Macaca fascicularis: one gene and its partners. The protein of the gene in region 3 interacts with the protein of the main gene of each other region in a biochemical or structural test. Links are inferred from orthologs where the notes say so. Each region holds a gene or a part of one and is shown on either strand. Other genes may lie near its edges. The genes, in order: SREBF1, ELF3 and MED23.

Region 1 (10,577 bases), on a different chromosome or scaffold from region 3:
CATTTCCTGTCCACCCCATGCCTACCTGGGGTTGCAGGCTTAACTGTAGGTGTTGGGTAAGTCACCGTCTCACTCTGTTCTTTACTCTCCTGATCCTGATCCGTAAACTGGTGTAGTGGGTAGTAAACCCAATGCCCACAGGGGCCTTATTACATGGATTTCCTCACTCTCCCTGCTGCCAGCTAGACTCACCCCTTTCAGTATGTAATTGGCCTCTCCTCAAACAGCCAGTTACCCCCCAGAGAACAGGTATCACTCTTCCTCAGCCTTTGTGAGCTACACTCCTCACTGTGCAGCAATCTTTGGGGTTCAAGTAGCTCTTTTGTAGAGGGTGTGTTCAATGACTCATGATAAGCCTGCAGGTGCCCACGTGGGTGTGAGCCTCCAGGGGCAAAGCTGGCCATGGAGGCTCAGAGAGGGCTGGACAGAACTTGCCCAGCTCACCACAGAGCCCAAGCTGGAATGAGACCAGGAGCATCATCTACGACCAGAATCATCCATGTCAACAGTCATCTCACCCCGTTATATACAGATGAAGACGTGGGGGAGGGGAGACTCAGGCGCTGAGCAGTCTCTTCTCCTAGCCTGGTCCCTCCGCCATAACCTGGGCAGGTCCCAGCTTGGCTCCCACAGCAGTGAAGGATATGCAGGGCCAGGCAGGGTGGCAGGGGGCTCTGGGAGTGGGGGGAGGGGTTTCAGTAGCCTAGGCAATGGCTAGGGTGGACAATCCAGTCTTTCTGCCCAGTGCCCGCCTTGCCATCCACCGCTGAGCTCCGGGCACCGAGGGCATGTCTGGACAGGACGAGTGGCCTGGGAAGAGGCCCTGCCCGCGCTGGACGCCTGCCCGAAAAGGCCCGAAACCCACAGAAGCTGCCTCTCAGTCTCTAAGAGACTTGGAGGAAGCGGGGAGATGCGAACCCCTATCTCCCAGATGGCAACGCCGAGGTTGGGCAGGGGCCGGGCTGGGTGACCTGGGAGGAATTCTCTGCTCTGGGCGCGCCACGCAGTCCCGGGTGGGGCTGTCCCGTGTTAGCCCTTCCGTGCCCGCGACGCTCACCTGGCGGTCGTCCCGGCCAGGTGTCTGGCCTGGGGGCTGAGCTCAGCCTGTCCCCGCCGCCCCTCCCTGCCTCCCGGGTCGAGCGGGCGCAGCGCATGTGACCCAGGGCTGGGCTCCCGGGAGTACGCGCTGACGCCGCGTCACCCCACTCCGGGCCGGGTGCCCATTGGCTGCGCCGGACCCGCGGGGGCGGGGCTGGTCTGGCTCCGCGCCCCGGCTCCCCTGGGTCTCCACCCGCTGCCCTGGACGGCGCGTGTGCTGAGCCGGCCCGGCTCTCCGGCTGCCTCCAGCCCCGACAAAATCAGGGGCAGCAGTGCTGTGACGTCCTGAGCAAGTCGCTTCACCGCCCCACTCCGCGTGCCTCAATTTACTCAGCTGTAAAATGGGATGGTAACAGCCTCAACCGCCTGAGGCTGTCGAGAGGAGTGACTGGGTTTAAACAGCATTGAGCACCCTGCCAGCGCTCAGCGAGTAGACTGAGCGGAACCTGCCCGCCCGGGTCACCGTGGGCCAGGCTGGATCCCTGACCCGACAGACACACCAGTACAGAGGGGCTTGTGTCCACGTTCCTTGGGCGTGCTCAACGCTCCCCAGCCAAGCGGGGCCCGAGGGTCTTGCTTGGAGGTCTCAGGATCTTTGAGGGGAGAAACCGCCAAGACAAGCATGTTCCCCCTGAAAAATGGATCCCCACTTCTGTTTTCCCCTACCCTCACCTTGAGGGTTGCCCCGGTAATTCCAGGCAAAATTCTTCCCACCCCCACGTTGGACTGTGCCCCATGGGGGTTGGATTTTCTGGGGTGCAGGTCTCCTGTTGACGTTGTCTTGCCTTCTTTCCCTTTACCCTAACTCCTGCAGTTATGGAGTGAATATTTATTGAGCTATTCTATTTACATATGTGGTAACCCATTTAAAAAATGGTGAGGCGGTTTGGGTGCAGTAGCTCACGTCTGTAATCCGAGCCCTTTGGGAAGCTGAGGTGGGTAGATTACTGGAGGCCAGGAGTCTGAAACCAGTCTGGCCAACAAGACAAAACCCCATCTCTACTAAAAATACAAAAATTAGCCAGGCTTGGTAGTGCATGACTGTAATCCCATCTACTCAGGAGGCTGAGGGAAGAGAATTGCTTGAACCCGGGAGGCCGAGGTTGCAGTGAGCCGAGATTGTGCCACTGCACTCCAGCCTGGGAAACAGAGCGAGACTGTCTCAAAAACAATAACAACAACAAAAAACAAACAAACAAACAAAAAACAGTGATAGCCAGGTGCAGTGACTCACACTTGCAATCCCAGCACTTTGGGGGACCGAGGCAGGTGGATTACCTGAGGTCAGGAGTTCAAGACCAGCCTGGCCAAAATGGTGAAACCCTGTCTCTACTACAACTACAAAAATTAGCCTGGCATGGTGGCATGTGCCTGTAATCCCAGTTACTCAGGAGGCTGAGACAGGAGAATTGCTTGAACCCAGGAGGTGGAGGTTGCAGTGAGCCGAGATCATGCCGCTGCACTCCAGCCTGGGCAACAGAGTGAGCCTTTGTCTCAAAACAAGAAACAAAACAAAAAACAGTGAGGCAGATCTGTTGTGATGATGACTCCAAAGCACCCTCCCTGCCTCTGCAGTGACTGCAGGAAGGGTTATTCCCATTTTACAGATCCAGTAGCTGAGACTCAGAAGTGAGGTAAGTGGATCCAGGTCACGCAGCAAGCAGGTGCAAACCCAGATCACCTGCCTAGCTCTGAAGAAAATGGTATTTAGGCTTCACCCAGTACTTCCTATCCCACCCCCTCCCTGGGAAGGGCTGTTGAAATTTTCAGGGAAATCATCGGCTTCCTGCCGCCTCCAGAGTGTTGGTGGGGGTAGGGCACTGAGGAGAAGCCAGCTTTGTTCTCTGTGTTCTCCAGCAGTTGTTCATCTGGAGGGAGTGGGTCCTGGGTGGACCCTTGAGCAGAGCTACTTGGGGAGATGTGGTTTGGTGACCCCTATGACTTCTGGCTCCCCTATTCTGCGTAATTTTCCACTGCAGCCACTTCTGGGAGAGGAACAAAGGGAGCTGGATGTCCAGGCTGAGCCCCAGGGACTTGGGCTCTGTGGCTTCTCTCCCCCACACACCCCTTCTAAAATGCATCATGAATTTTACTCCTGCTTAGGGCGTGGTCAGACAGGCTATATCTGGAGTCTGAGCAAGGCCGTCCGCAGGATGGCTTGACTCATGAAGGTCTGGGGTCAGGAAGGCCTGAGGCCCAGGCCCCTGATGAGTTTCCTGGGCTGGCCTCCACCAAGGGTGCTTCTCTCTGCTTGCATACCTCTGGGGACAGGGAGCTCACTGCCTTATCACATTCAGATACCTGAATGTTAATTCCGGTTTATTTCAACCCACCTCATTGGGACCCCATCCCTCCTTCCTGCCCCAACCTGGCTCTGTCCCTAGGCCACAGAACCAGGTTTGGTTTCCAGCCCCCTTCTCAACAGGGCTGCCTGCTCTGACCTAGTCCCAGTTTGTCATGATCCAGGGCAGCCTGGCTCTGATCTAAAGCACAGCCACCTCTTCCTTGTGGCCCCTATCCTGACTGCTCCCGGGAACAAGTACCAAATCTGGGGTCAGACAGTCCTGGGGCCAGTCTTCCTTGGGTACTGGCTTCCTCCTTCAGGAGCTGCACTGGGCCCACTGGTATCCTATCCCTACAGCTGGATCTGGGAGGAAACCAAATGAAGACGATAGGAAATTCCAGCCTCTTTCTTTGGCCACTGCTGTCCTCAAGAGGCCAATCTTCTGGTTTTTTTGCAGAGAGGGGGCAGGCTGATCTCACAGGTCATGCTCCCCTCCACATTGTCACTAGCCTCCCAGCCAACCCGTGAGGAAGCATCATTAGGCCAATGTTACAAATGAGGAAAATTGAGGCAGAGTGATGTAACTGGCCCAGCAGTTACATCAGGCCTGCTCACAACACAGCAGGCCTGAGACCCCTATAACTTGGATCCTGCCCTGTCCTGTGGTAAAGAGTCAAATCTAGGAAGTGAGGAAATGAGGTTTGGGATGGGCCCAGGCCTGGGGCTTCCACTCAGCTCTCTTGCTTGGTGCTGGAGAAACAGAGGACCAGAGAGGGGGCTTGGCTTGCCCGCGTTCCTGCAGCAGCCGGCCAGAAGCCGCTGCCATTGTGCGCGAGGCTGGATAAAATGAATGACTGGAGGGCGCTCTGGAGGAGGGGCCGGCTGAGGGGAGATTTGTGGCGCAGACCGGGGATCAGGGGTCCCCCGCTTCTTTCAAGGTGGGGCGGGGCCGTCTATCTGGGAGGGCGGGGCTTTCCCGAAAGGCCCCGCCTCCGCCTCGACCGCCCAGCGGAGCCGCAGCAGGGGGAACCCAGTTTCCGTGGAACTTTTCGCGGGCGCCGGGCCGCCTCCGAGGCCAGGGCAGGACACAAACGCGCGGAGCGGCGGCGGCAACTGCGAGCCGGGGCCGCGGCGGCGCTCCCTGGGAAGGACCGTACGAGGCGGCGGGCCCGGCGGGCCTCCCGGAGGAGGCGGCTGCGCCATGGACGAGCCGCCCTTCAGCGAGGCGGCTTTGGAGCAGGCGCTGGGCGGGCCGTGCGATCTGGACGCGGCGCTGCTGACCGACATCGAAGGTGCGTCAGGGCGGGCAGGGCTCGAAGCCGCGCCGGGTGACGCGAGTGGGGGGCGCGCAGGTGCCTCCCTGTCCTTTGTCTCCCCCGCGGGCGCCAGCTCCGTGCTGTGCTCGCGCTGGACTTCCCGGCGTCTCTGAGCTGCGTGCCGTGCGCCTCGGTGTCCCGGGCCTAGCCGAGCCTCCCTGGTTCCCGCCCTAGCGTCTCGGGCCGCGAGCTCGGAGGTGAGGGCTCTTGGGCCGGGCCGGGGTCCCTTGGCGACTCCGGGCCGGGACACGTGCGCCCCTACGCGTCCCAGGCCGGGTGCCGCCCGACCGGTGACTCTTCAGCCCTGTGGTGGCCACGGCTGGAGCTGGGGACCCGGGCGTCGCCGAAGCTCCGCCCCAGCCCCAGCCGTGACGTAATTGCGAGGTTACTCACGGTCATTCCCTCCGGCCCGAGAGTTCAGCTCAGCGTCGGAGCTCTTACGCATGCGCACTGGCGCTGCCTCGCGCCCTTCCCCCGCCTCTGGTGGGGTTCACCAGGTCTGCGACGGGAATCGCCTCCGCACCCATTCACTGACATCCACTGAATGCCAGGCCCCGTCTTAGGCACAGACAGACCTGGGCACCCCCTCTTTCGGGAACACAAAAATCCCCCAGGAAACCAAACGGGTATTTAGTTGCACCTTGGGTGGAGCGAGGCTGGCGGGGAGGGCAGGGCAGGGATGTGGCTACTTTGGGCAGAGCAGTGAAGGACTTCTAGGCTGAGACCTGAGGGTCACCCCCAGGACCAGCAGGGAAAGATGTTTTCCAGGCCACGGCAAGGGAAGGGCAAAGGCCTCGAGGCAGGGCGTAAGTGTGAGGAGTTAGAGGCTTGCAAGGGAGTGAGGTCAGGGAGGAGGAGGACGCGAACCGACTTGGTCGGCCAGGGAAAGGGCAGAGCAGGACAGTGGCACCGGCTTCCATCTTTGGAGCGCCACTCTGGCTGTGATGAGAAGGGGCCAACGGTGGCACCAAGTGCCAATTAGGAGGCCCGTTGCTTCCATTTTGTAGACAGAGCAAAAGGAAGCCCCTAGCAAACTGCCTCCATGGTTTCTGTGCAGGAGTTTTAACAACACTGGCTAAGTTGCACTTGGTTGATGAGGAAACTGAGGCCAAGGTCGCAGGAACAAGATGCCTAGACTCACAGCCTGAATGGACATGTCCATGGAACCCGTGGCCACCCTGGGGTTGGCAAAATAGATACATCTATGCCACCCCCACTCCTGCCCTACTGCAGCCTTGCAGATCACCCAGCTGGTTGCCTGCCCCAGGAGCTTCCCAGCCCTTCCCACTGGGGCTGGGCTAGGGGAGGACCCCAGAGGAGAGGCCCTGATTGTGAGGCTTTTCCAAAACAGCCTCCCCTATCCCTGGCATGAGGGGTTGTCCTTCACTGCCCTCTGGAGTGATGAACCCTGAAATCCCAAGCCCTAGGGAGATCTGGGCTTAACTACCAGTTCCACATCCCTGGGCCCAGTGAGTGTAGTCCAAGAGGCAACGTGACCAAGCCAGGAGGACATGGGCTTTGGGGTCAGAGGTTGAACCTGGACACTCCTCATTTCCTTTATCATCCTGCTCAAGCCCTCTCACCCTCTGAACCTTAGTTTCCACCTCCAGAAAAATGAGGATGCAAACCCTCCCTTCATGGGCAAGTTGGACAACAGAATCGGGTCTGGGCCACAGGTCTGAAACAGACCTTTCTTACTGACTCATGAATAAAAACACTGCCTCTCCAGACCCAAAGGCCAGGCATGGGCAGCCATGTGGCCCAAGGTCTAGTCTATGAGAGAGTGGGGGCAGCCCCTTCTCACTAGGCAAGCCTCAGCTTTACCCACTTCAGTAGAGGATTTTTCAGTTTTTATTCAAACTTCCTGTTTGTCTTCCCAATTACACATCTTTTTTTCAGTGTAGAAAAATTAGAAAGCACAAGTGAGCAAAAAGAAGAAAATAAAATCTTTAGACCAGGGGTGGTGGCTCATGCCTATAATCCCAGCACTTTGGGAAGTCGAGGCAAGAGGATGACTTGTGTGCGGGAGTTTGAGACCAGTCTGGGCAACATGACAAAATCCTGTCTCTACAAAAATAAAAAATTAGCTGGGTGTGGGTGACACGTGCCTATAGTCTCAGCTACTCTGGAGGCTGAAGTGGGAGGATTGCTTGAGCCTGGATTTAGAGGCTGCAGTGAGCTATAACCGTGCCATTGCACTCAGCCTGGGTGACAGAGTGAGATTCTGTCTCAAAAAAAAAAAAAAACTTTAAACCTACCACCCAGAGATAAGCTCTGCTAATTATGTGAAAGAGCTTTTCTTCTCTTTTTTTTTCTCTCTCTCTCTCTGTCTGTGTGTGTGTGTGTGTTTGGGGAATGGCTGCACACTCTTCATAGACTTTTTTTTTTTTTTGGAGACAGGGTCTCACTCTTTTGCCCAGGCTGGAGTGCAGTGGCATGATCTCAGCTCACTGCAACCTCTGCCTCCCAGGTCCAAGAGATTCTCCAGCTCCCAGGTAGCCGGGATTACAGTCGTGTGCCATCACGCCTGGTTAATTTTTGTATTTTTAGTAGAGATGGGGTTTCACCATGTTGGCCAGGCTGGTCTCGAACTCCTGAGCTCAGGTGATCTGCCCACCTTGGCCTCTCAAAAGTGCTGGGATTACAGGAGTAAGCAACCATGCCCGGCCTTCATCAATTTTTTAAAACAACTTTATTGAGATATACTTTATGTATCACAAAATTTATCAATTTTAAGTATATCGTTCAATGATTTTTAGTTAACTTTCTGAGTTGTGTGACCATTACTAGCTGTAGAACATTTTTATCTCACAGTGAGATCCCTCATGCTTGTTTAGTCACTTCCCGTTCCTGCTCCCAGCCCCAGGCAGCTATGGATCTGTTTTTTTGGGGGGGGTTGTTTTTATTTGAGACGGAGTCTCGCTCTTTCACCCAGGCTGGAGTGCAGTGGTGTGATCTCGGCTCACCACAAGCTCCACCTCCCAGATTCAAACAGTTCTCCTGCCTCAGCCTCCCGAGTAGCTGGGACTACAGGTGCCCGCCACCATGCCCAGCTAATTTTTTGTATTTTTAGTAGAGACGGGGTTTCACCATGTTAGCCAGGATGGTCTCAATCTCCTGACCTCGTGATCTGCCCACCTCGGCCTCCCAAAGTGCTGGGGTTACAGGCGTGAGCCACCGTGCCAGGCCAGATCTGCATTTTTTTTTTTTTTTGAGATGGAGTTTCGCTCCTGTTGCCCAGGCTGGAGTGCAATGGCATGATCTCAGCTCACTGCAACGTCCGCCTCCCAGGTTCACACGATTCTCCTGCCTCGGCCTCCCCAGTAGCTGGGATTACAGGCATGCACCACCACGCCTAGTTAATTTTGTATTTTTAGTAGAGACTAGGTTTCTCCATGTTGGTCAGGCTGATCTCGAACTCCCAACCTCAGGTGATCTGCCCGCCTCGGCCTCCCAAAGTGCTGGGATTACAGGCATGAGCCACCGTGCCTGGCCAGGATCTGCATTTTTATAAATTAAAATAGGGTCCATTGGTTCACAGCTGATTGGATTCTGCTTGGTTCCATGTCATCAGCCAGATGACAGTCAGGTTCCTTCATTTACCCACCTGATCCCCTGTCAATGGGCACCTAGGTTGTTTTATCTTTATAAACTGTGCTGCAGTGGACACTGAGGCCAGTCTTTGCCCAGATCTTCACTGTGTTCCTAGGATGAGGTTCTGGGAGGGGAATTGCTGGTCAGAGGTTGAGCCTGCTTTTGAAGCTTCTTCTACCAGGTGTGGAGCTTAGCAGGTTTGATAAGGTCTGAAGATTTGGGGGTGGAAATGCCAGGTCCCTTGAGAGACATGAGGGATAAGAGGGGGCCAGGACAGCCTTGAGTGCCAGAGTGCAGAGCTGGGCTGGATGTGGGGATGGCCGGGGGTCAGAGCAGGGGCACGCTGAGCTTCAGCTCCCTCTGGCTGCTCAGGTGGAGGATTGTAATGTGAACAGAAAACACTAATTGAGTACTTACTGTGCTCCAGACACTGTGTTGATGATCCCACTTAATCCCCTGACAACCCCAAGTAGGTAGACATATGATGAAGATGATGGCCTCGAGGACCAGAGAGGTTAAGTGACTTGCCTGAGATCACACAGCCAGATGATGGCAGAGCCAGGATTCAAACCCAGGCTGTGGGCTCCAGAGCCTAGCTCTTAAGCTCTTAATCACTGGGCTCCTAAGAATGGGGATGAGGCTGGGCGTGGTGGCTCAAGCCTGTAATCCCAGCACTTTGGGAGGCCGAGGTGGGCGGATCACGAGGTCAGGAGATCGAGACCATCCTGGCTAACACGGTGAAACACTGTCTCTACTAAAAATACAAAAAAATTCGCCGGCGAGGTGGCAGGCACCTGTAGTCCCAGCTACTCGGGAGGCTGAGGCAGGAGAATGGCGTGAACCCGAGAGGCGGAGCTTGCAGTGACCTGAGATCCAGCCACTGCACTCCAGCCTGGGCAACAGAGCGAGACTCCATCTCAAAAAAAAAAAAAAAGAATGGGGATGAGGGGTTCAGGGGGGCTGCTCCACATGGGGCTACTCTGGGGGCCTGGAGGTGGGTTACAGAGGGATCAGAGGCTATGTGACTACCTCCCCATCCCAGTCCAGAGCAATGTTTGAGTCATCAGACTGGGAACCAGCCCTGGTGAACCAGCGAAGGGCCTTGGGCCCCATCCGGTCCTGCTGCCTGCCATGGCCAAACTCTTGTGAATGGATTTGGGGATGGAGCGGCCTCCGTGAGTCCTTGCGTCTGTGGGTGAAGGCACTGCCCTGGCTGTAGAGTGCCCCTGGGTTTGAGTCCTGCCTCTGCACCGAGACCTCAGGTGAGCCTGTCTCGTCCTGCACCTCAGAGTACCTTGCGGCAGTCGGGGAAGGATGGATTGGGAGAGTGGCCCTGTACCTGTGTTGGGGATTATTATTAAGCCTGTGGCAGTCTTCACCTCCCTGCTGAGGATTAATTGATCTGATTTTGCACAAGCTTATGAGTGCAGAAGAGGCAGATGGAAACAGAGTTCTGGCCGAGAGCCTGGAAGGGGGCCTCGGGGGTCTCTTTCCTCTGCCTGGACCCCGTCATGTCTGGTCTTTGTCTGTCGGACCCCAGATGTCTGCCAAGCCCGGTCAGAGGCTGCTTCCCAGAAAGCCCTTCTGGGTGTCTCCGTACCCTGAGTAGTCCGTTCTCAGAGTTCTCCCGCCCTGATGTCCCTCCCAGCATGCCCAGCCCAGCCACGACAGGCCCTTGCTTCTAGTCATGTGTCTGGCTGTTTGCTGGGTCCAGGTCAGCCCTAGTAGGGCACACTGGGGGCCCGCTCTCCCACACCATACCTCTCCCCAGGATATTTCACACCCCACTTCTCTCCCTAGTCCCACCAAGCACTGGCACTCCTTAGAAAACACAGCTCTAGACTGGTCACTGCCCCAGCTCACAGCACTGAACTCCCCTGGTCTCCAACCATTCATGGCTCCCCAGTGCTCCGAGATAAAGTTCCCTTGTCTCGGCTGGGTGCGGTGGCTCACACCTGTAATCCCAGCACTTTTGAGAGGCCGAGGCAGTGGATCACGAAGTCAGGAGATCGAGACCATCCTGGCTAGCGTGATGAAACCCCGTCTCTACTAAAAATACAAAAAATTAGCCAGGCGTGGTGGTAGGCACCTGTAGTCCCAGCTACTCGGGAGGCTGAGGCAGGAGAATCGTGTGAACCCAGGAGGCGGAGGTTGCAGTGAACTGAGATCACACCACTGCACTCCAGCCTGGGCCACAGAGCAAGACTCTGACTGAAAAAAAACAAAACAAAACAAAAACAGTTCCCTTGTCTCAGTGTCGCATTCAAGACTTGCAAGGATTGCCA
Region 2 (10,685 bases), on a different chromosome or scaffold from region 3:
AGGCTGAGGCAGGAGGATCACTTAAGCCCAAGAGGTCAAGGCCACAGTGAGTCTTGACTGTGCCACTGAACTCCAGCCTGAGTGACAGAGTGAGACCCTGTCTCAAAAATAAAAATAAAAAACTGTCTTACGACTTTTTCTCTACCCTTCTCCCCATCCCCAAGGCTTCACTGGGCCTCACCTGTCTTTGCTCCTGGATGACTATTTGAATGGTGTGGTAATCAGTAGTCTTTTAGAACTTAGCATTAAATTCTGATTTCCTGGCCTCAACATGGGGACCTAAACAGTTAGCAATCTGGGTTTGGGAGTGGGATGAGGGGAGGGTTGGAAGAAATATTTAGTGTGTTTCAGTTGCCTTTCTTTAAATACAGGGCACCCCTGAACCAGCCTCTGTTCGCAGCTCTGCTCTGTCCTTGGCTTTAGGTTATCAAACAGGCTTTCTCCCTCCCCTGCACAAGGGTCGGGAATGAGTCCATTTGCTTTCACTCAGCAAGAGCAAGGGACTAGTGACCAAGTGGTCGACTGGAGAGGCCTCTGCCCCATGCATGGCACACTCAACTTCACCATCAGAGAGGGCGATGTGGGTCACAGGAGAGGGATCTGGAGGCCCAGGATCGGAAGAGACACTCTAGGCACTGGCATTTTGACAGCAAACTCCTGTGGCTCTTTCAGGACTGTTCCTGGCAATATGTTATTGACAAGGACTATTTTAGGGCTATCCAGTTGCCTCCCCCTCTCCCCAACCTGGTGTCTAGCTTATCAGTAGCTATCTTTCCTTGCTCTTTACAAAAATCTATAGCACCCACAGGCCCAGTAATCATGAAAGGTCACTGGAAGGAAAGGCTGGAAGTCCTTCTTCTAACAGCCGTTCTGTGACTCCACTAACTTTGTGGGTTCCCATTTCATAGCACGGGTATCCTGAGCTGTGTAGCCTGCCTCACTCGCCACCTTTGTACCCGACAGGCCTACTGGATGTGGCTGTCCTTTTGTAGGGCATCCTCCCATCCCACAGATGAGGCTGTGCTGCCGTGTGGGCAAGCTCTGTGGGGAGAGGGGAGGCCAGTGGGCTGTTTTTGCCATCACAGAGTACTGGGAAGCCCCTGGCATCCTGCTCCGTAGCTCTCTTGACCACTATCCTGGAATCTTCTCCCCACCCCCATCCCCATGCTTCCAAGGCACTGACCTCAATCCAGTCTTTCCCACTTATCTCAAGCTGCTAGTCTGTAGGGATTCCTTATCTCAGCTCCATGTCACCGGTGAGGAAGCTCCAAGAAGGCAAGGGAGCTGAGAGCCTTCTCATTTTTCTCATACATCCTCCTCTTCACCCCGCCATCCTGGGAGCCCCAGCCAGATACTCTTCAGGGCAGGGAGCACGTGAGCAGCCCTGGGGCTAGAAGCCGGTTCTCCCACATTCCTGGGTGAGGGACTGGGTGGAGGGTGTGCCTGCCTCAGGCTCCTTGGGGGAGGCCCCCTGAAGGGCTGGGGAAAATCCTACTGAGCCCCAGGCTCTCCTGCCTGCACTGTCCCAGTGCGGGGGTGGGGGGTGGGGGTGGGGTTGGGGGGGGAATCCTGGACATTAACTCTCTCCTAGGCACCCAGGCGCTTCAGAGAGGAGGAAGGTAAGAAGCAGATTCTCTGGGCAGGACTTTCTTTGTCCTCAGGCTATAGAGTTAAAGAAAGGAGTATCTGTGGAAGGTGGAGTCACCTTTTGTTTGAGTAACCATTTCACCCACCCTGGCTGAGGGTGGCCAGGAACTCCGCAAGTTATGCATTAATGGAGGTGGGTCACACAGATCCTACATTTTTTTTTTTTTTTGAGATGGAGTGATTACAGGTGTGAGCCACCGGATCCCACATTTTTAGATGCATAAAAATCTATATCTGGGCTAGGCACGGTGGCTCATGCTTGTAATCCCAGTACTTTGGGAGGCCGAGGCAGGCAGATCACAAGGTCAGGAGATCGAGTCCATCCTGACTAACACGGTGAAATCCCATCTCTACTAAAAATACAAAAAGCCGGGTGTGGCGGTGGTCTGTAATCCTGGCTACTCGGGAAGCTGAGGCAGGAGAATTGCTTGAACCCAGGAGGCAGAGGTTGCAGTGAGCAGAGATCGCGCCACTGCACTCCAACCTGGGTGACAGAACGAGATTCCACCTCAAAACAAAATAAACAAACAAAATGCTAGATCTGGAAGCGATCTTAGGGATTATTGAATTCAGACAACCTCATTTTTTATAGATGAGGAAACAAGCGCAGACTCCAAGGGTCTCACCCAAGATGACACAGTTGCAGATGTTGGCTACAAGTCTCCTGCCTCAGCCACCTGTATTACCCCATTCAGGATCTCAAGGAGGGTCTATAAGACCCTGTCCATTGTGTTTCAGGCTGAGTCCATAGAGACAACCACAGACATGGGGGACTCTACCCACAGGGAAGGCAAGGGCTCTGACCATGGAGCTGGGAGGGAAGACTCTGAGTCCTGTGCAGGGAAAGAGCAAGGGTTTCATGTACAACACACCTGCATACCTGGGTGTGAATCTCAGCCCCACCCCTTCACCAACTCTGTGTGGCCTGGGCAAGCCATTCTAAGGGAACCCTCCACGCTGCAACTTTCTTGTCTATAAAATGGGAATAACCATGCATTCTTTACAGGACTTTTTTGGTGTGAGGATTAAATGAGAGAATATGTTGAAAAGTGCTTGGTAAATATATTAATACTATGCGTTCCCTCTTCGTTGAATGACGTGACCCAGATAGTCAGGCTTCTGACCACTAGAGGGCAGCAGAAGGCACCGGAAAACTGGGTCCAGTGAACCAGAGATTGGATGAGTCCAGAGAGCAGGGATGAACTTATCCGTGTGGATTCTGGCAACTCCGGCAGGGAGGGCTTCAGCAGACGCTGAGGGAAGAACTTTCAAGCAGAGCCGGGTCTCTTCAGGAGTGACTGCAGCAACCCTGATGCTTGGATGGAGTTCAGGCAGGTGATGGTAGTGAAGACCTTGCCAACAGATTGAGTGCTGGAGAAGGACCCCTTTAGTGGGGACCCTGGAGCCAAGGCTAGGCTGGCAGGCCCAGCCACCACCAATTAATCCATGAGTATTGCCCAGCGTTGAGCCTGGAGCACCTGCCAGCCCCTGGCCAGAGTCCTGGGTGTTCTTGGAAAAACCCCTAAACCTAGTAACTCCTCTCCCTACTAGGCCTCTTTGTCGCTGAATCGCTGGAATTTAGGGGCCAGCAGCTTTCTGATCCAGGTCAGCCAGAGGTTCACAGTCCCTCACTTTCCCTCCCCCTGCCTGGCCCATCTCTGGCCTGGCCCCTGGGAGGATTTTCCTGGGCCAGAGGGCAGCAGAAAGCACAGATGCCCACCCCAGCAATGTTCCCGCCACCTGCCCAGGCTAGTGCCCTGTGCCCAACCCCAGAGGGTGCGGGATGACAGACTCTGACAATCATTAAACCAGCCGGGCCTGATTTCCCAGCACCGCCTGCTAAGATCCGGGCCAAGTGGCACTGAATATGCAAATCACCTGGGGCCAGGAGCCCAGTCTAAAGGCCAGGAAATCCCCTCCGTCCAATGAGCCACCAGCTCAGGTTACTGCAGGGGATGTACTATAAAGGCCTGAGCTCAGGGAGGAGCTCCCTCCAGGCTCTATTTAGAGCCAGGTAGGGGAACGCAGCGGCCAGACACCTCAGCGCTACCTGGCAGAACTGGATTTCTCTCCCACCTGCGGCTTAAGCCTGACTGCCAGCCTGCCTGCCACAGCCGGACTCCACCACTCCGGTAGGATTCCCTGCCTGTCATTCCCTAGAACAGCTCTTGGGAAACTGCAGAGGGGTCCAGAGGATTTGCGGTTCTGAATCTGCGCACTCCAGTCTAGGATCTCCGAGCAAGAGCGTAGGTGTTCTAAGTGTCGAAGAACAGACAGAGATCGTCTCTGGGAGGGCAGAATGGCCATGACGCTGCCAGTCTGACTCCAGGGCCCCAGAGATCTGAGGAGGGAAGTCCAGCTGGAGGCTTCTGTGGTCCTGCCCTGGTCTGAGATCTTGGAGCCCTTCTTGAAGAGAGGGTGTCTGCAGAGTTGATGATCTTCCTGCCCCTGGGGGCTACTCTTGCCCATCATTGGGCAAAGCAGAGTAGCTGGGAGTGTAAGGAGAGGACCCTTGTCCCCTCACCAACCTCATCCCCTCTCCCCCTACCCACAGGTAGCCTCATGGCTGCAACCTGTGAGATTAGCAACATTTTTAGCAACTACGTCAGTGCGATGTACAGCTCAGAGGACTCCGCCCTGGCCCCTGTTCCCCCTGCTGCCGCCTTTGGGGCCGATGACTTGGTGCTGACCCTGAGCAACCCCCAGATGTCATTGGAGGGTACAGGTGGGTCTCAGCGGGGTGGGATGGGGCACGGAGTGGGAGACAGATCCATCTAAGGGCCTGTTAGACAAATGGGAGAATGGGCAGGGAGGAGGGTCTCTGGACGAATTCCAGGGCTAGAGGCTGAGACGTAGTGACTGAGGTGCTGGGGGTTGTGGGGCTGTGACAGTCAGAGGGAGGTGTCAGATACCAGGACAAGGGTGTTGTGAATGCTACCTCCTGCCCCTACTCTTGGGATGGCTCCAAGGGCTGAGGTGTGAATCCCCAGTGTGCTCTAGGAATGGGGCTGTGTGGGCTGGGAATGGTGGCTCACACCTGTATTCCCAGCACTTTGGGAGGCTGAGCTGGGTGGATCACCTGAGGTCAAGAGTTGGAGACCAGCCTGGCCAACATGGTGAAACCCCGTCTCTACTAAAAATACAAAAATATTTTAGCCCATCTTGGTGGTGGGCACCTGTAAGCCCAGCTACTTGGGAGGCTGACGCAGGAGAATTGCTTGAACCCAGGAGGTGGAGGTTGCAGTGAGGCGAGATGGCGCCATTGCACCCCAGCCTGGGCGACAGGAGCGAAACTCCGTCTCAAAAAACAAACAAACAAACAAACAAAGAAACAAAACAGCGCTGTAAGGTCTGCTGGGTGGTCTGGACTGAGCCTGTTGCCATGCCTGGCCCTTGCAGAGAAGACCAGCTGGTCGGGAGAACAGCCCCAGTTCTGGTCGAAGACACAGGTTCTGGACTGGATCAGCTACCAAGTGGAGAAGAACAAGTACGACGCAAGCGCCATTGACTTCTCACGGTGTGACATGGACGGGGCCACCCTCTGCAATTGTGCCCTTGAGGAGCTGCGTCTGGTCTTTGGGCCTCTGGGGGACCAACTCCATGCCCAGCTGCGAGACCTCAGTGAGTCCAGGCCCCTGGAAGCGGGGGAGCAGCTCCATATGTTGAGCTGAGTTGAGTTCAGTGTGACAGTGGGCAGGCCCTGGAGCTCTGGGCCAGCGGCACAGCCAGAGAGAACTCTTCAGGGAGGGATGAAGGGAGTGTGACCCTTCCTTCCTTCCTTGTCAGCTTCTAGCTCTTCTGATGAGCTCAGTTGGATCATTGAGCTGCTGGAGAAGGATGGCATGGCCTTCCAGGAGGCCCTAGACCCAGGGCCCTTCGGTGAGAACCCGTTTTCTCCTTCCTTCCCCAGCGTGTCTTGTCCCATCCCTGCCCCTCCACAGAGTGCTAGAGATGACCCCCTCCCCAGACTTCTTCCTCCCTCAATTAGAAAAATTGCAGCAGGTCATCAGACCCATGGGCAGCCTCACCTGTCCTGGTCTGGTCCCCTGAGCCCTCTCTGAGTTCTCACCTCCTCTTCCCAGACCAGGGCAGCCCCTTTGCCCAGGAGCTGCTGGACGACAGTCAGCAAGCCAGCCCCTACCACCCCGGCAGCTGTGGCGCAGGAGCCCCCTCCCCCGGCAGCTCTGACGTCTCCACCGCAGGTGAGAGTCTTCTCTGGGCCACAACCTCCCTTCCCCAAAGTGTCCCTGGTTCCCTCCGGCTCCCAGCACCAGAACTCAGGCGTTCTGGCAGGAATAGGAACAGGCTGGGAAGTGTGTCCTGAGAGCCAGCAGCATGGTTCAGCAGAGGGTGGGCCGGCAGGGGACTTACTCTGACCCCACCCCCCAGGGACTGGTGCTTCTCGGAGCTCCCACTCCTCAGACTCCGGTGGAAGTGACGTGGACCTGGATCCCACTGACAGCAAGCTCTTCCCCAGAGGTGAGTCGAGGGAGGTCCCCAAGAGGGTGTCCCATTTAGCAGTGTACAGAGGGCCCGGCTCTTTCTGCAGCCTTTTCCTATAGAGGGGCTGCTCTCCCTAACTCCCCCCTTGCCCTCCTTGATCTTCCACCACCGCCCCCACAGATGGCTTTCCTGACTGCAAGAAGGGGGATCCCAAGCACGGGAAGCGGAAACGAGGTCGGCCCCGAAAGCTGAGCAAAGAGTACTGGGACTGTCTCGAGGGCAAGAAGAGCAAGCACGGTGAGCTTCAGGGGCCCCTGGGTCCTCCCTGCACCGAGGCTGAGCTGCTTCCCCGGGCACTGCGGGTCATTGTGGGTATCCCTCCTGCCGTTCTTTCTGGCCTCCACACGGCCTTTGTTAAGGCTGTGCACAAGCTGGGGGCTCTATGGTATTGGTCACCACCTAATTACAGAGCCTTGCTTGGTGGTCCTGGAGAGGAGGAGGAAATAAGGCTCCCAGTGGGAGGCTCATGGCACTAGAGTCCTGTCCACTGACTCCAGCCCTCTCTGCACTTGGCCACTGTCCTGCCTTCTGGGACACCCTTGGTGTAAGGAGGCAGCTGGTGGGTGCTTACGTGGGCTGAGGAGAAAAGCAGTCACTGCAGTACCCACACAGAGGCACTCTGGAGGGGCTTGCTCCATGCTGTGGCCGAGTCAGCAGTGCGCCGGGGCGGGCAGGGCCAGCTGGCCTTGAGTGAGAGGGGACACCTGGATGGCAAACTGACGGAGGCTGGCCTTGTAGCACCCAGAGGTACCCACCTGTGGGAGTTCATCCGGGACATCCTCATCCACCCAGAGCTCAATGAGGGCCTCATGAAGTGGGAGAATCGGCATGAAGGCGTCTTCAAGTTCCTGCGCTCCGAGGCTGTGGCCCAACTGTGGGGCCAAAAGAAAAAGAACAGCAACATGACCTATGAGAAGCTGAGCCGGGCCATGAGGTGAGCTGGCGGCCAGGACCCTCACCATGCAGCCAGACACGGGGACAGTGCTCACACTCCCACTGCCCTCCTCCTGGATGCCACTTGGCTGCATGCAACAAGGCTGTGTCCTGTAGAGTGAGGACAACATCTGGGTTGGCCTACTTGGTGGATTAAACGACAACAGGGAGGAAGTATTAGCCTGGCGGATGGCAGACACAGTGTGCTTGAGCTAACAGCAACATTTCTTGTATCACCTGTGAGGCTCGTCCTCAGGAAGGCACCTGGAGAGTCGGGAAGTGGGTGGGAGCTGTGCCCACCCAGGGCCTGGCTTTCTCCTCATTGAAGCACTTAGCTTGCTTTTCTCCGGGCCTCAGTTTCCTCCTATGTCCAGGGGTAGACTAGGTCATCTTAAGGTCCCATCCAGCCCTAAAATCATATACTTACTTTCTTTTTTTTTTTTTTTTTTTTTTTTTGAGACAGAGTCTTGCTCTGTGGCCCAGGCTGGAGTGCAGTGGCTCGATTTCGGCTCACTGCAAGCTCCGCCCCCTGGGTTCACGCCATTCTCCTGCCTCAGCCTCCCGAGTAGCTGGGACTACAGGCGCCTGCCACCACGCCCGGCTAGTTTTTTGTATTTTTTTAGTAGAGACGGGGTTTCACGGTGTTAGCCAGGATGGTCTCGATCTCCTGACCTTGTGATCCGCCCGCCTCGGCCTCCCAAAGTGCCGGGATTACAGGCTTGAGCCACCGTGCCCGGCCTTTTTTTCTTTTTTAAATAGAGACAAGGGTCTCTGTGTTGGCCAGGCCAGTCTCAAACCCCTGGTCTCAAATGACTGCCCTGCCTTGGCCTCCCAAAGTGCTGGGATTACAGGTGTGAACCACTGTGCCTGGCCTTTTCTTTCTTCTTCTTTTTTTTTTTTTTTTTTTTTTTTTTTGAGACAGGGTCTCGCTGTGTTGACCAGGCTGGAGTGCAGTGGTACAATCTTGGCTCGCTACAACCTCTGCCTCCCAAGTTCAAGTGATTCTTATGCCTCAGCCTCCCAAGTAGCTGGGATTACAGGCACCTGCCACCATGCCCGGCTAATTTTTGTATTTTAAGTAGAGACGGGGGTTTCACCCTGTTGGCCAGGCTGGTCTTGAATTCCTGACCTCAAGTGATCCGCCCGTCTCGGCCTCCCAAAATGCTGGAATTACAGGCATGAGCCACCGTGCCCAGCTGCCTGGCCTTAAAAATCATGTACTTTAATGATCAGACCCCAGTCATAGCCATAGGATACAAAGAAGCAAGGGCAGAGAGCCATGTGTCCTGGGCACAGTTACTGGCCAGTATAGGGACAGAGCTTCTGCTTACGGGTGGGAAGAACAGAGGAGTTCAGGAAGTGTGAGTCAGGCTCGGCTTAGGCAGATACCAGTGGGCATGGGTCACCTGGGGGTAACGCGGGCTAGGTGGGAGGGCTGGCGACTCGGGGCCCGTTTCCTGCCTAAGCACCTCTGACCATCCTTCTCCCCACCCAGGTACTACTACAAACGGGAGATCCTGGAACGGGTGGATGGCCGGCGACTCGTCTACAAGTTTGGCAAAAACTCAAGTGGCTGGAAGGAGGAAGAGGTTCTCCAGAGTCGGAACTGAGGGTTGGAACTATACCCGGGACCAAACTCACAACCACTTGAGGCCTGCAAACCTTCCTGGGAGGACAGGCAGGCCGGATGGCCCCTCCACTGGGGAATGCTCCCAGCTGTGCTGTGGAGAGAAGCTGAAGTTTTGGTGTATTGTCAGCCATCATCCTGGGACTTGGAGACTATGGCCTCGCCTCCCCACCCTTCTCTTGGAATTACAAGCCCTGGGGTTTGAAGCTGACTGTATAGCTGCAAATGTGTCTCCTTTAATCTGGTGCCTCCTCAAACCCAGTCTCAGACACTAAATACAGACAACACCTTCCTCCTGCAGACACCTGGACTGAGCCAAGGAGGCCTGGGGAGGCCCTAGGGGAGCACCGTAATGGAGAGGACAGAGCAGGGGCTCCAGCACCTTCTTTCTGGACTGGCGTTCATCTCCCTGCTCAGTGCTTGGGCTCCACGGGCAGGGGTCAGAGCACTCCCTAATTTATGTGCTATAAATATGTCAGATGTACATAGAGATCTATTTTTTCTAAAACATTCCCCTCTCCCACAGAGTGCTGGACTGTTCCAGGCTCTCCAGTGGGCTGATGCTGGGACCCTCAGGATGGGACTCCCGGCTCCTTTCTCCTGTGAATGGAGGCAGAGACCTCCAATAAAGTGCCTTCTGGGCTTTTTCTAACCTTTGTCTTAGCTACCTGTGTACTGAAATTTGGGCCTTTGGATCGAATATGGTCAAGAGGTTGGAGGGGAGGAGAATGCAGGTCTACCAGGCTGAGGGGTGAGGGCAAAGGCTGACGAAGAGGGGAGTTACAGATTTCCTGTAGCAGGTTTGGGCTTACAGACACGTGGACTGGGCTGGGAGGCGAACAAAGGAAGCAGGTGAGACTGTCAGAGAATGCTTACAAGACTTCATGCAAGCAAGGACATGAACTCAGAAAACTGAGGTCAGAAACATCCTGCTGTCGCGACACCGCTTGGGTGACCTTGACCTTGACCAAGTCTGCCCTGTTTGGGACTGATTCTTCCTATAAGGCTAGGGTTTGGACCTGATGTTCTCAAGATGTCTAGAATTGCATGGCCGGCCTTGTGGAATAGATGGTTTTGCATTCCAGCCAAGTGGGCTGTAAGCTGTTTATCTGTAATATAAATCCCAGCTTTTGAGTCTGACAAAATCAGAGTTAGGATCTTGTAAAGGAAAAAAAAAACACAAACAAAATGGAGATGAGTACTTGCTGAGAAAGAATGAGGGAAGGAGTTGGCATTTGTTGAAAGTATAGTCTGTTTCTCTTTATTTAATAATTGCAACTATTACTCTAGATTTAGGAGGTACGTGTGCAGGTTTGTTACATGGGTATATTGTGTGATGCTGAGCTTGGGATGCGAATGATCCTGTCACCCAGGTAGCGAGTATAGCACCCATTGAAAGCCTAGTCTTTTTTTTTTTTTTTTTTTTTTTTTTGAGACGGAGTCTCGCTCTGTCACCTAGGCTGGAGTGCAGTGGCCGGATCTCGGCTCACTGCAAGCTCCACCTCCTGGGTTCACGCCATTCTCCTGCCTCAGCCTCCCGAGTAACTGGGACTACAGGCGCCCACCACCTCGCCCGGCTAGTTTTTTTTGTATTTTTTAGTAGAGACGGGGTTTCACCGTGTTAGCCAGGATGGTCTCGATCTCCTGACCTCGTGATCCGCCCGTCTCGGCCTCCCAAAGTGCTGGGATTACAGGCTTGAGCCACCGCGCCCGGCCGAAAGCCTAGTCTTATGCCAGACACTGCGCTAGCCCACTCTGGCTCATTTAATCCTCTCCCAAGAAGAGAGGAGATGCAGTATCCCCATTTGACAGATGCGGAAAGAGGTTCCACAGGTGTGCCTTGATTCTGTCCTCAAACCGTTTCCTGGGAGCTTTTCCTGGTGTAGGCTCTCTTAACCTAATCCTCAATCGACTCCAGAACTATTATTCTGTTTCCACAGCGATAATGTATCTAGGTTTTAGGGAGGACAGTTCA
Region 3 (9,984 bases):
TAATTATTTAATTCTTCTCTTTCTTCTGTTGTGTTATTTTTCAAATTGTTATTTTTCAGTATATTCCAGTTCCTGATATTAACAAACCCCAGTCAACCCATGCCTTTGCAATGACTTGTATTTGGATTCATCTCAATAGAAAAGCTCAAAATGACAACTCCAAGCTACAGATTCCAATACCTCATTCCTTAAGACTTCACCATGAGTAATTATTTGTTGCTTGATACTTATTTTTCTTGTTTAATTAATAGCGAATTGTAGACTAATATTGGTCTCGGTGTTTGTGTGAAATTTGAAAATCTCCCCATACCCACTATGGGTAAGGGCAAATACTTGAGATATATGTCATAGCAAGAGAATCTGACCAGCACCTATATCAGGAAACAGCTACAAGATTAGTCTTGCTTTTATGTATAGATTTTTACAAAAAATTTTTCAAGGCTGATCTTCAGTTGAATATGTTATAAAGTTATTAATATAATGAAAGCATATCAAGTTTCATAAATGTAAAAATGTTTCAGAATTTCTCAAGTGCTTGGAACTTGAGCATGAGCTGACTGAGATATTCATCTGTGGGCTGCCAGGAATGATTGAGCTGATCTGGCTGGCATGCCCCTTAATATCTCTTCCAAAGTTGTGATGACTCAAAGAAGATACCATTCTTAGATAGTATTGTATTGTATTGTAGTCAAGGGTGCTAGGAATAGCCTAACTTCCCACCTAGAACTTCTGAAAAAGACTGCCACATCTCTTCATAGGATATGGCAGGGGAGTCAGACTTGATATTTCATTTGGTTTTCATTTTATGAGATACCCCTTAACCACCTTTTCAAAGTGATATCTGTAATGAAGACACTGTTGTGTTTATACAGACAGATAATAAGTAGAAACCTGGTTCACAGACTTGTGAGTTATTTCTTCGGTCTCTGAAACTTAGCCTAATATGGTGGCTGTATATGTAGTGCATACTTAACAGATACCCATTAATTGTTTATTTAAAATTATTTTTCTTCTGAAACACTACCTCAACTTCTATGTGTATTCCCACTATACGTTTCACACAGAAACTCGAATACGTATAGGAACAAAGATAGCATTAATAAATAATTGCATAAAATTGAACTTTTAAAAAAATACAAATTAACATTATGGAAGTAATTTTCGTTTTTTCTTTTTAATGGAACATGAATTTTTAGGTTCCTGCAGCAGAGTCTGAGAAATAAAAGTTTACAGATGAATGACTATAAGATTGCTCTATTGTGTAATGCATACTCTACAAATTCAGAATGTTTTACATTACCCATGGGAGCTCTGGTAGAAACTATTTATGGAAATGGAATTATGAGGATACCTCTCCCTGGAACAAACTGTATGGCTTCAGGATCTATTACCCCCTTACCCATGAACCTCCTGGATTCACTGACAGTTCATGCCAAAATGAGGTATGTTCTTTTTATTAATTTGATTCCATGTCAGGGAATTGATACGAGTATAGTATAAACCTTTATTTCATGGTTTTATGTGTGTAATTTTTCATAGTCAGGTACATTTAGGGAAAAAAATAGCTTTATTTTATTACAAAAGTAAATATTTTTTATTATAGGAATTCTAGGATAAACAAACCCAAAGAAAGTAATTGTCATAATCTCTCCATGAGAGATAAGCATTATAAAAATTTTTTGCACTTTTTTTTTTCGTTTTTTGTAGATAGTAAGAAGGAGGACTAGTGTAGCTAGAGCTTCCAACGTTTTTGAGAAGGGCTAGAAATCCAGATTTTTTATTACTAGTCTTTCAGCCTTTAAGTATTGGCTCAAATTTAAAACAACCACCGTATAGGCCTAAGAGAATTTGTCTGTGGGCCTCCAAGTGGAGCATCAGTTCTGGTAGAGCTATGCTCTTTTTCAAGTGGTAACCATTGTGATAGAATTACACATGTGCTTCACTTGCATGTATAACAGATTTGAGCAAAGCCTCATTAGAACCTAACATTTGGGTCTTAGCTATGATGTGTTAAAGTAAATCTGTGACAGAAGTTATTTAATTTCCCAAATGTATTTTGATGCATCATTTGAGTAACCAAAATCTCTCAAGCTTCCTCTTATAAGTTGAACCCAAAGTTTGTTTTCCCATGAGCAGGGGGATCCGTGTGCATATTGAAAGCACCATGGAAATCGGAATGAGTCTCAGGTTGTGCAGTGCATCCTTACCAAGTGTCCTGCACAATTTAAACACATTAAATGAATCAACTTCATTTGAATCATTTAAGTTCAAATTATACTAAGTTACTTCTAAGTAGAGTAGCGCCTATGTTTATGTCAAAAATATGGATTTTTATTTTCTTCCCTTTTTTCTCCTCAGCCTTATTCACAGCATTGCAACCAGGGTGATAAAACTTGCTCATGCAAAGTCCAGTGTGGCCTTGGCTCCAGCCCTAGTGGAAACTTACAGTCGTTTATTGGTCTATATGGAAATAGAGTCTTTGGGCATCAAAGGATTTATCAGTAAGACAGGACTTTCTGGTGTTTATAACTATTAATCCATTCATTAACTCTAAAGGTACTTTTCTAGTTCCGGGGACACAGCAGAGAACAAGTCACCACCATGATGGAGCTTATGGAGGGGGACGTTAAATAAATGAAATATATAATATGTCAGGTGATACATGTTATAGAGAAAAATAAAGCAAAAAGGAATAGGAAGTTTGAGGGTGGGAGGGGGGGGTTGTTGCATTTTTAGGTAAAGTGGTAAGAAAAGGTTAATGTGCTAGGTGCCTGGGATGTGGTGAGCAGGATAGACATGGTCCCTGTCCTCATGCAAATGGATTCTGCCTGAGGCAGTAATGCTGTCCTCCAGTGCATACAAAAGGCTGACTGGCAGTAAAGAAGGAATTCTCTTAGATTGCAGAAAATACATTATAATGTCTGTTATTTATTATGTAGTTCTAAAATAATAGATACTTTCTAATATAGAAGTGTTTTTCTGATTCATCATAATTCCAGCTTTTCATGAATACAGCATAGTTTTAATTTTAACCATAGTAAGTCTTCCTAGATAACTGATTGTTGAATAAAACTTTCTCGGGGGTAGGAGGAAACAAGGGCAGGTGTAAAAATACAGTTTTTTGTATTAAAAAGTGAACCTCATACTTCAAAAGGTATGGAACATTAACTGTCTAAAAATAAAAGATACCAGAATTGAGAAGATTAATGCTTTTTCGTATCTTGTCTCATTTTGTTTTTCCAGATAAACATGATTATCACTTGCCAAGTCCCAGGAAAAAATAATTGATATTATAGTTAGGATCCGAATTTTTCCTTACTGTTAAAGTAGAAAATAAGAAAATGTGGAGAATATATATGTGTGTGCGTGTGTATTTTCGCAATCAAATCTTTATATTTTACTCAATGTGACTTTCTTCAACTATCTTTTAATGCATAGCCTTTACTAATTGGTACCTTAAATTGTCTTTTTCCTCCAGGTCAGCTTTTGCCAACTGTTTTCAAATCACATGCATGGGGGATCTTACATACACTCCTTGAGATGTTTAGCTACCGGATGCATCATATTCAGCCTCATTACCGAGTTCAGCTCCTGAGTCATCTTCATACTTTGGCTGCAGTTGCACAAACAAACCAGAACCAGCTCCATCTTTGGTGAGCTCATTGAAGGCCATCTTTCCTTAAGATTTACTAGAAACTTTCTTGGAGATGAGGTTCTTAATCCTTTGCCTTATAGGTTTTTTTTTTTTTTTTTAATTCATCTGTCATAAAACTTCTCTGCTTCTAAAGTATTTTGTTTCCATTATAGGAGCAGAGTCCAGCTTTTTAAATAGAAACTGATTAAGATAGTTGAGTTCTTGCTTCAGGATCTTTGGACTGAGAATTAGTACTTTCAGGGTATTTATTATTATGTTGTAACTTAGCCCTTTAGAATGCTGTTTTTAAGTATACTTCAGATTATGGTTAAAGTATCATGTCACATTGATTTTGCTTTAAATTAAAATATATTTTAGATAGAAAAATATAATTTTTGAAATGCAGTATCTCCAGGTGAAATTTTTTAGTCCTATAGGCGACAAGTCATCTTTTTCAAATGTGTAAAAATGTCAAGATTTTCACTATAAAATTGGACACATTAGGTTTTTTAAACAAATTAAGCAACATTTATTCTCACACACAAGTGTTTTTTTAATTAAAGAAGGGATAGTCATATAGATTGCATGTTTTTCCAGTGTAATTAACCTTAGAATTAGATTTAATTCTATAATTCTGAAATTTTTTTACATTTCTTTTTTTTCTCCCACTTTTCAGTGTCGAGAGCACTGCTCTCAGGCTTATAACAGCATTAGGTAGCTCAGAGGTACAACCGCAGTTTACACGCTTCCTTAGTGATCCCAAAACAGTGCTCTCAGCAGAATCTGAAGAACTGAACCGAGCCTTGATATTGACCTTGGCTAGAGCAACTCATGTTACAGGTACGGTGACTATGTGACTACAAACAAACAAAAACAGATGAATTAAAGTGTGCCGTGATTCTACTAATTACTATGGGTATAACATACTAAAAAGATACTTTTCATTTGTTCAAAAAAAGCCAGTTGTTTTGATATCTTCACTATTTCATTCATTTATGGAAGCTCTTTTGTGTAACATCATTCTATTAATAACTGGGTTGAGCATCAGTTTTCAGTTATCTTCCATAATTTTAAAGTAGTAATTCTTTAAGCTTTTTGGTCTCAAGACTGCTTTACACTCTTAAAATTGAAATTCCCAAAGAGTTTCTGTTTATATGGATTATATCTATGGATATTTATTCTATTAGTAAAATAAAGTTTAAAAATATTTATTAATTTGTTTTTAAATAGTAATAAACATTACATGTTAGCATATGATGTTATGGAAAAAAGTATATTTTGTAAAGCAAAACTTTAGTGAGAAGAGATACCATTGTTTTACATTTTTGCTTCTCTAATACCCGATGTAAAGGAAGACATAGTTTGAATTCTCATCTGCTTAGACATTTAATCCATTGAAGTTTTAGTTGAAGTGAGTAAAAAATGTGGCCTCACACAGATGAGGTTAGAAAGAGAGGAGTATTTTAATAGCCTTTTCAGATCGTTGTGAATGTTCTTTGACATCACATGGAAAAATGATAGTTGCTTAAAAGTTAGTTGCGCCGGGCGCGGTGGCTCACGCCTGTAATCCCAGCACTTTGGGAGGCCAAGACGGGCAGATCACAAGGTCAGGAGATCGAGACCACGGTGAAACCCCGTCTCTACTAAAAATACAAAAAATTAGCCGGGCGCGGTTGTGGGCGCCTGTAGTCCCAGCTACTCGGGAGGCTGAGGCAGGAGAATGGCGTGAACCCGGGAGGCGGAGCTTGCAGTGAGCCGAGATCGCGCCACTGCACTCCAGCCTGGGCGACAGAGCGAGACTCCGTCTCAAAAAAAAAAAAAAAAAGTTAGTTGCAATGTGGAATCCAAAACCCTATCAGTGAACTTCACGTACTTTGTTACATTGTAATCTGAACATCTGTTTTGTACATTTAGTGGATTTTTAAATCCGTGCATGTTTTGTAACTTCATGAGTTATTCATTTTGAAAATATTGGTTCACTGAGTTACGTAGATCTAGCAAATGTTGACATTTTATCATACAGTATCAGAAAATTACATTTGTTAATATCACTGCAAAGTTTATTAGAAAAATCTAAGTTTTAGAATGCTGTCATGTCATGGTGGTAGATACATGTTTTCCAAAATTTCCATTTTTACTTAAAAGGTCAAATTTTATCATTAGTAAAAGTTACTATCATTTGTTTTCCTTGAAGTGACAAGCTCATTTTGTTAATTTTCAAGAAAATGTCTGCTAAATACTTAAGTCTAGCTAACTATAGTTTTCTGTCAGACATTCTTTCAAGTAAAATTGGAATTCAAAAAAAAAAAATGCAGCTGATTTAACTCAGTAGTCAGTCACACAAGTGTTTTTCCTCAAGACACCCATCAAACTTTGGAACACTAGGCATATGCTTCCCATTTTGTTAAATATGATATTAAAAATAAGTGTCGAGATTGACACTGGCACTTTTCTTTTACTGAGTGCATGTGGTGGAGAATACAAAGCCTTTTCATCTAGTTTGGCACCACTGTTTGATTTGTGCTTAGGACCAGCAGTTTTACCACCATTGCTTTTGCACCATCAGTGCTCATATCTAGTAAAAAAGCCAGTGATATCTTTTTATTATTATTTGACCTCACTGAATCTTTGAAGGGCTACTGGGGAATCCCTCAGAGGTCTGAAGACCACACTTTAGAACTGATGTTTTAAAGAGATAGTTACTGATTTTAGCAACCTCAAATACGTTTATGTAAATTATGTTGTTTTATGTAAAGAACCCTCTTCAATTCTGAGATTTATACATGCATTATGTAATTATTTCACTCTCCAAAAAAGACATCTTTCTTTATTCTGTTCCCTTGGCCAAATAAAGTACTACTAAATCAGTGTCAAAATAAATGAACAGTAGTGGTGGACCTGTACCATTATCACTGGTACTCTGTAACTTCAAAAAAGAGATTCCAAATGTCTTTTGTCATCTTTTCATAAATTGTTCTCATATTTTCTAATGTGATCATCCAGATCACTCAGAAACTAAGCAAATTTAGGTTCTAAGCTGGATATAACTAGTTAAGCAATGAATGCACTACAGTGAAATTCTCAGTGTACTTAATTATTATTTTTGCCATAATCTTTTATGAGTTGTGGACATAATCACTTATATCTGGATTACATCTATTTGTTTATGTTTAGATTTTTTTACAGGCTCTGATTCAATTCAGGGAACTTGGTGTAAAGACATACTTCAGACCATCATGAGTTTCACTCCTCATAATTGGGCTTCACACACCCTGAGCTGTTTTCCAGGCCCACTACAGGTAATTTTGTCTTGAATTACTTATTGAATACACATGAAATCCTTCTTCCCATTCACAGTGGTGTTCTAGAGTGAGTCTTGGTGACATCTGAATAAAATTAGCTTTTATTTATTTTAAAAATTATTTAGGGTCTGGGCATGGTAGCACATGCCTCTAGTCCTAACTGCTTGAGAGGCTGAGGCAAGGGGGATGACTTGAGCCCAGGAATTTAAGGTTACAGGGTACTATGGTCACACCACTGCAGCACATCCTGGGTGACAGAGCCAGACCCTATCTCTAGGGGAAAAAAAAAAAAAATTGTCGTTACTTCCAAAATCTCTCAAGTTGTTCTGTGTCCTACTCTGGGACTGGGCATGTTTCTAAAAGTTTAATTTTTGTGGTTTCACCTTAGGTAACAGTTTTAAGGGAAGGAAGAGTAGGAAGAGGAAAAAAAAGTGAAAAAATTTGAAAAAGAGAAAAAAATAGTTAATGGTTTCAGAATCTCATGAAAATTAACATAGTACCTGAAAATTTTTTCTCTCTCATAGAACTGAAATGGGGAGAAGTATAATGTAATAGAACTTCACAGAGTGCACATATATGACACTTCACTGAATTTTTTTTTTTACTCCCAGAAAAACTATAAACCTGGCTTTTCTAGTAGGGAGAAAGGCAAACCTCATCTGTCTTCTCCTTTTCAGAAAAAATGTTAGGCATGATGAACGTCCATTTTTCGTAACTCCTGTTAGGGCTAGAGCATTTGTTTTTCAAATTTACCAAATCACCTGGAGGGCTTGCTAAGCTATAGATGGCTGGCGCCCCAGCCACGGAGCTTCTGATTCAGTAAATCTGGGATAAGGTCTGAGAATTTTGCATTTCTTGTAAGACCAGATGATGCTGATACTGCTGGTGTTGGGACCACACTCTGAGAATCACTGGGCTAGTGCAGTGGATTTTCCTTAGAGACACTAACATATGTAGCCAAAGGGTGGAGACATTTCATTCTTTTTTTTCTCTTTAAGACTGGTGGAAGTATCAACAGATGATTGAAGAAGCTTTAAATTCAGGCTTGCTTATAATTTCAGTTTAGGAAATCTAGGAAAAGGAATCTTGGAGATAATCTAGTTAAGCTTATGTATTTTCCAGATACAGAAATTCAGGCCTTAATTGCTCAATTGCTCAAGGTCACCTAAAGTTTATTAATGTCAGAATCAAGCCTAGAGCTGGTTTATTAACTGCATATCCAGTGCTCTTTCTACTATAACCAATGAAATAAACTTCTGATCCTCTTTTTAGGCGTTCTTCAAACAAAATAATGTGCCTCAGGAAAGCCGTTTTAATCTGAAAAAAAATGTGGAGGAGGAGTATAGGAAGTGGAAGTCAATGAGCAATGAAAACGACATTATTACCCACTTCTCTATGCAGGGCTCCCCTCCTCTCTTTCTTTGTCTTCTCTGGAAAATGCTCTTGGAAACAGATCATATTAATCAAATTGGCTATAGGTAAGTCAAAAACCTAATTTGCATTCCATTTGGCAAATTGTTGTATCCATACAACAATGGAGTTTATGTTTTACTCTCTGCCTTCCAGAGTATTAGAGAGAATTGGAGCCAGGGCCTTGGTAGCCCATGTGAGGACATTTGCAGATTTTCTGGTATATGAGTTTTCTACATCAGCAGGGGGTCAGCAACTCAATAAATGCATTGAAATTCTTAATGACATGGTATGGAAGTATAACATTGTTACACTGGACAGATTAATTCTCTGCCTGGTAAGAATAAATATATGTTTCTAAGCTCTTTTAGATCAAGATGTATGACTAATATATCTTATGCCAATCTGCTCTATATTGCTTTGAAGCATTTAATGAATTTATACTATATCAAGCATTGCTGTCACTTCCCTAAAGAACTACAAATTTTCCAATTTCTTTCTTTTTGTTTTGTTTTTTGTTTCTTGAGACAGAGTCTCACTCTGTCACCCAGTGCAGTGGCGTGATCATGGCTCACTGCAGCCTCAATCTCCTGGGCTCAAGCAATCTCCTCCCGCCTCAGGCTCCTGAGTAGCTGGGACTACAGGCATATGCCACCATACCCACCGAATTTTTTTTTCTTTTTAACTTTTTTGTAGAGATGGAGTTTCTCCATGTTGCCCAGGCTGGTCTCGAACTCCTGGGCTGAAGCAATCCTCCCTCCTCAGCTTCCCAAAGTGCTGAGATTACAGACATGAGCCACTGCTTCCGGCCCCAATTTCCTTATTCATTCATTTAATAAGTACATATTGAATATCAACTGTGTTCTATGTATAGAAGGTATAGAAGTAAATAAAATAGATGTGGTCCTAGCCTTGTGATACTCTAAAAATATGAGCTATTAGACCTTGAGTTGATTCTCCAAAACTCCCACTAGAGGCAGGTAGTAGCAGTAAGTCACTGTGTTTCTTTACAGAGTGCTAATATAACCATTTCTGTACACTTTGGTAGCAAACATTCCCCAAATGTTTTTTTTTTCTCTCTCTCTCTTGACTTTGATGTCTATTTCTGGTAGATTTCTTTTTTCTTTTTTTTTTTTTTTTTTTGAGACAGAGTCTTGCTCTGTCACCCAGGCTGCGTGATCTCAGCTCACTGCAAACTCTGCCTCCCAGGTTCACATAGTTATCTTGCCTCAGCCTCCCAAGTAGCTGGGACTACAGGCGCCCACCACCATGCCTGGCTACTTTTTTGCATTTTTAGTAGAGATGGGGTTTCATCATGTTAGCGATGATGGTCTCAATCTCCTGACCTCATGATCTGCCCGCCTCGGCCTCCCAAAGTGCTGGGATTACAGGCGTGAGCCACCGCGCCTAGCCTTCCGGTAGATTTTTTAAAAAGACGCTGAAGTCGGCTGGAAAATGCCACGTTGAAAAAAATTGTATGGTGGTGATATTTGGAGTGGCATAGTTTAACGTTAACCCCTTAGCTGTGGAGCATAGATATAAAAGTAGTTATTATATTTTAGGGGAAATAATGTAAGTCTATAAATCAATAAGATAACAGGATAAGGTGGAGGTGCAGAAAAAATATTTCCAGGAAAC

Evidence for each region.
Region 1: the proteins of MED23 (region 3) and SREBF1 form a complex in vitro, tested with the Homo sapiens proteins (2 studies listed by BioGRID). The link is inferred for Macaca fascicularis from reciprocal best matches to the Homo sapiens genes MED23 and SREBF1.
Region 2: the proteins of MED23 (region 3) and ELF3 form a complex in vitro, tested with the Homo sapiens proteins (4 studies listed by BioGRID, with this or other methods). The link is inferred for Macaca fascicularis from reciprocal best matches to the Homo sapiens genes MED23 and ELF3.

Annotation. Positions count from the first base shown.
Region 1 is NC_088390.1:17,937,911-17,948,487, reverse strand, and holds the start of SREBF1 (sterol regulatory element-binding protein 1), read left to right. Parts: upstream 1-4,414; 5' UTR 4,415-4,583; coding exon 4,584-4,674; intron 4,675-9,334; exon of another isoform or gene 9,335-9,554; intron 9,555-10,577.
Region 2 is NC_088375.1:59,751,949-59,762,633, forward strand, and holds ELF3 (ETS-related transcription factor Elf-3), read left to right. Parts: upstream 1-3,837; 5' UTR 3,838-4,080; coding exon 4,081-4,372; intron 4,373-5,046; coding exon 5,047-5,268; intron 5,269-5,433; coding exon 5,434-5,526; intron 5,527-5,729; coding exon 5,730-5,849; intron 5,850-6,036; coding exon 6,037-6,126; intron 6,127-6,270; coding exon 6,271-6,387; intron 6,388-6,888; coding exon 6,889-7,084; intron 7,085-8,578; coding exon 8,579-8,693; 3' UTR 8,694-9,362; downstream 9,363-10,685. UniProt on the Homo sapiens protein: Transcriptional activator that binds and transactivates ETS sequences containing the consensus nucleotide core sequence GGA[AT]. Acts synergistically with POU2F3 to transactivate the SPRR2A promoter and with RUNX1 to transactivate the ANGPT1 promoter.
Region 3 is NC_088378.1:35,569,111-35,579,094, reverse strand, and holds part of MED23 (mediator of RNA polymerase II transcription subunit 23), read left to right. Parts: intron 1-59; coding exon 60-205; intron 206-1,196; coding exon 1,197-1,442; intron 1,443-2,358; coding exon 2,359-2,501; intron 2,502-3,478; coding exon 3,479-3,653; intron 3,654-4,310; coding exon 4,311-4,474; intron 4,475-6,808; coding exon 6,809-6,933; intron 6,934-8,208; coding exon 8,209-8,414; intron 8,415-8,502; coding exon 8,503-8,683; intron 8,684-9,984. UniProt on the Homo sapiens protein: Required for transcriptional activation subsequent to the assembly of the pre-initiation complex. Component of the Mediator complex, a coactivator involved in the regulated transcription of nearly all RNA polymerase II-dependent genes.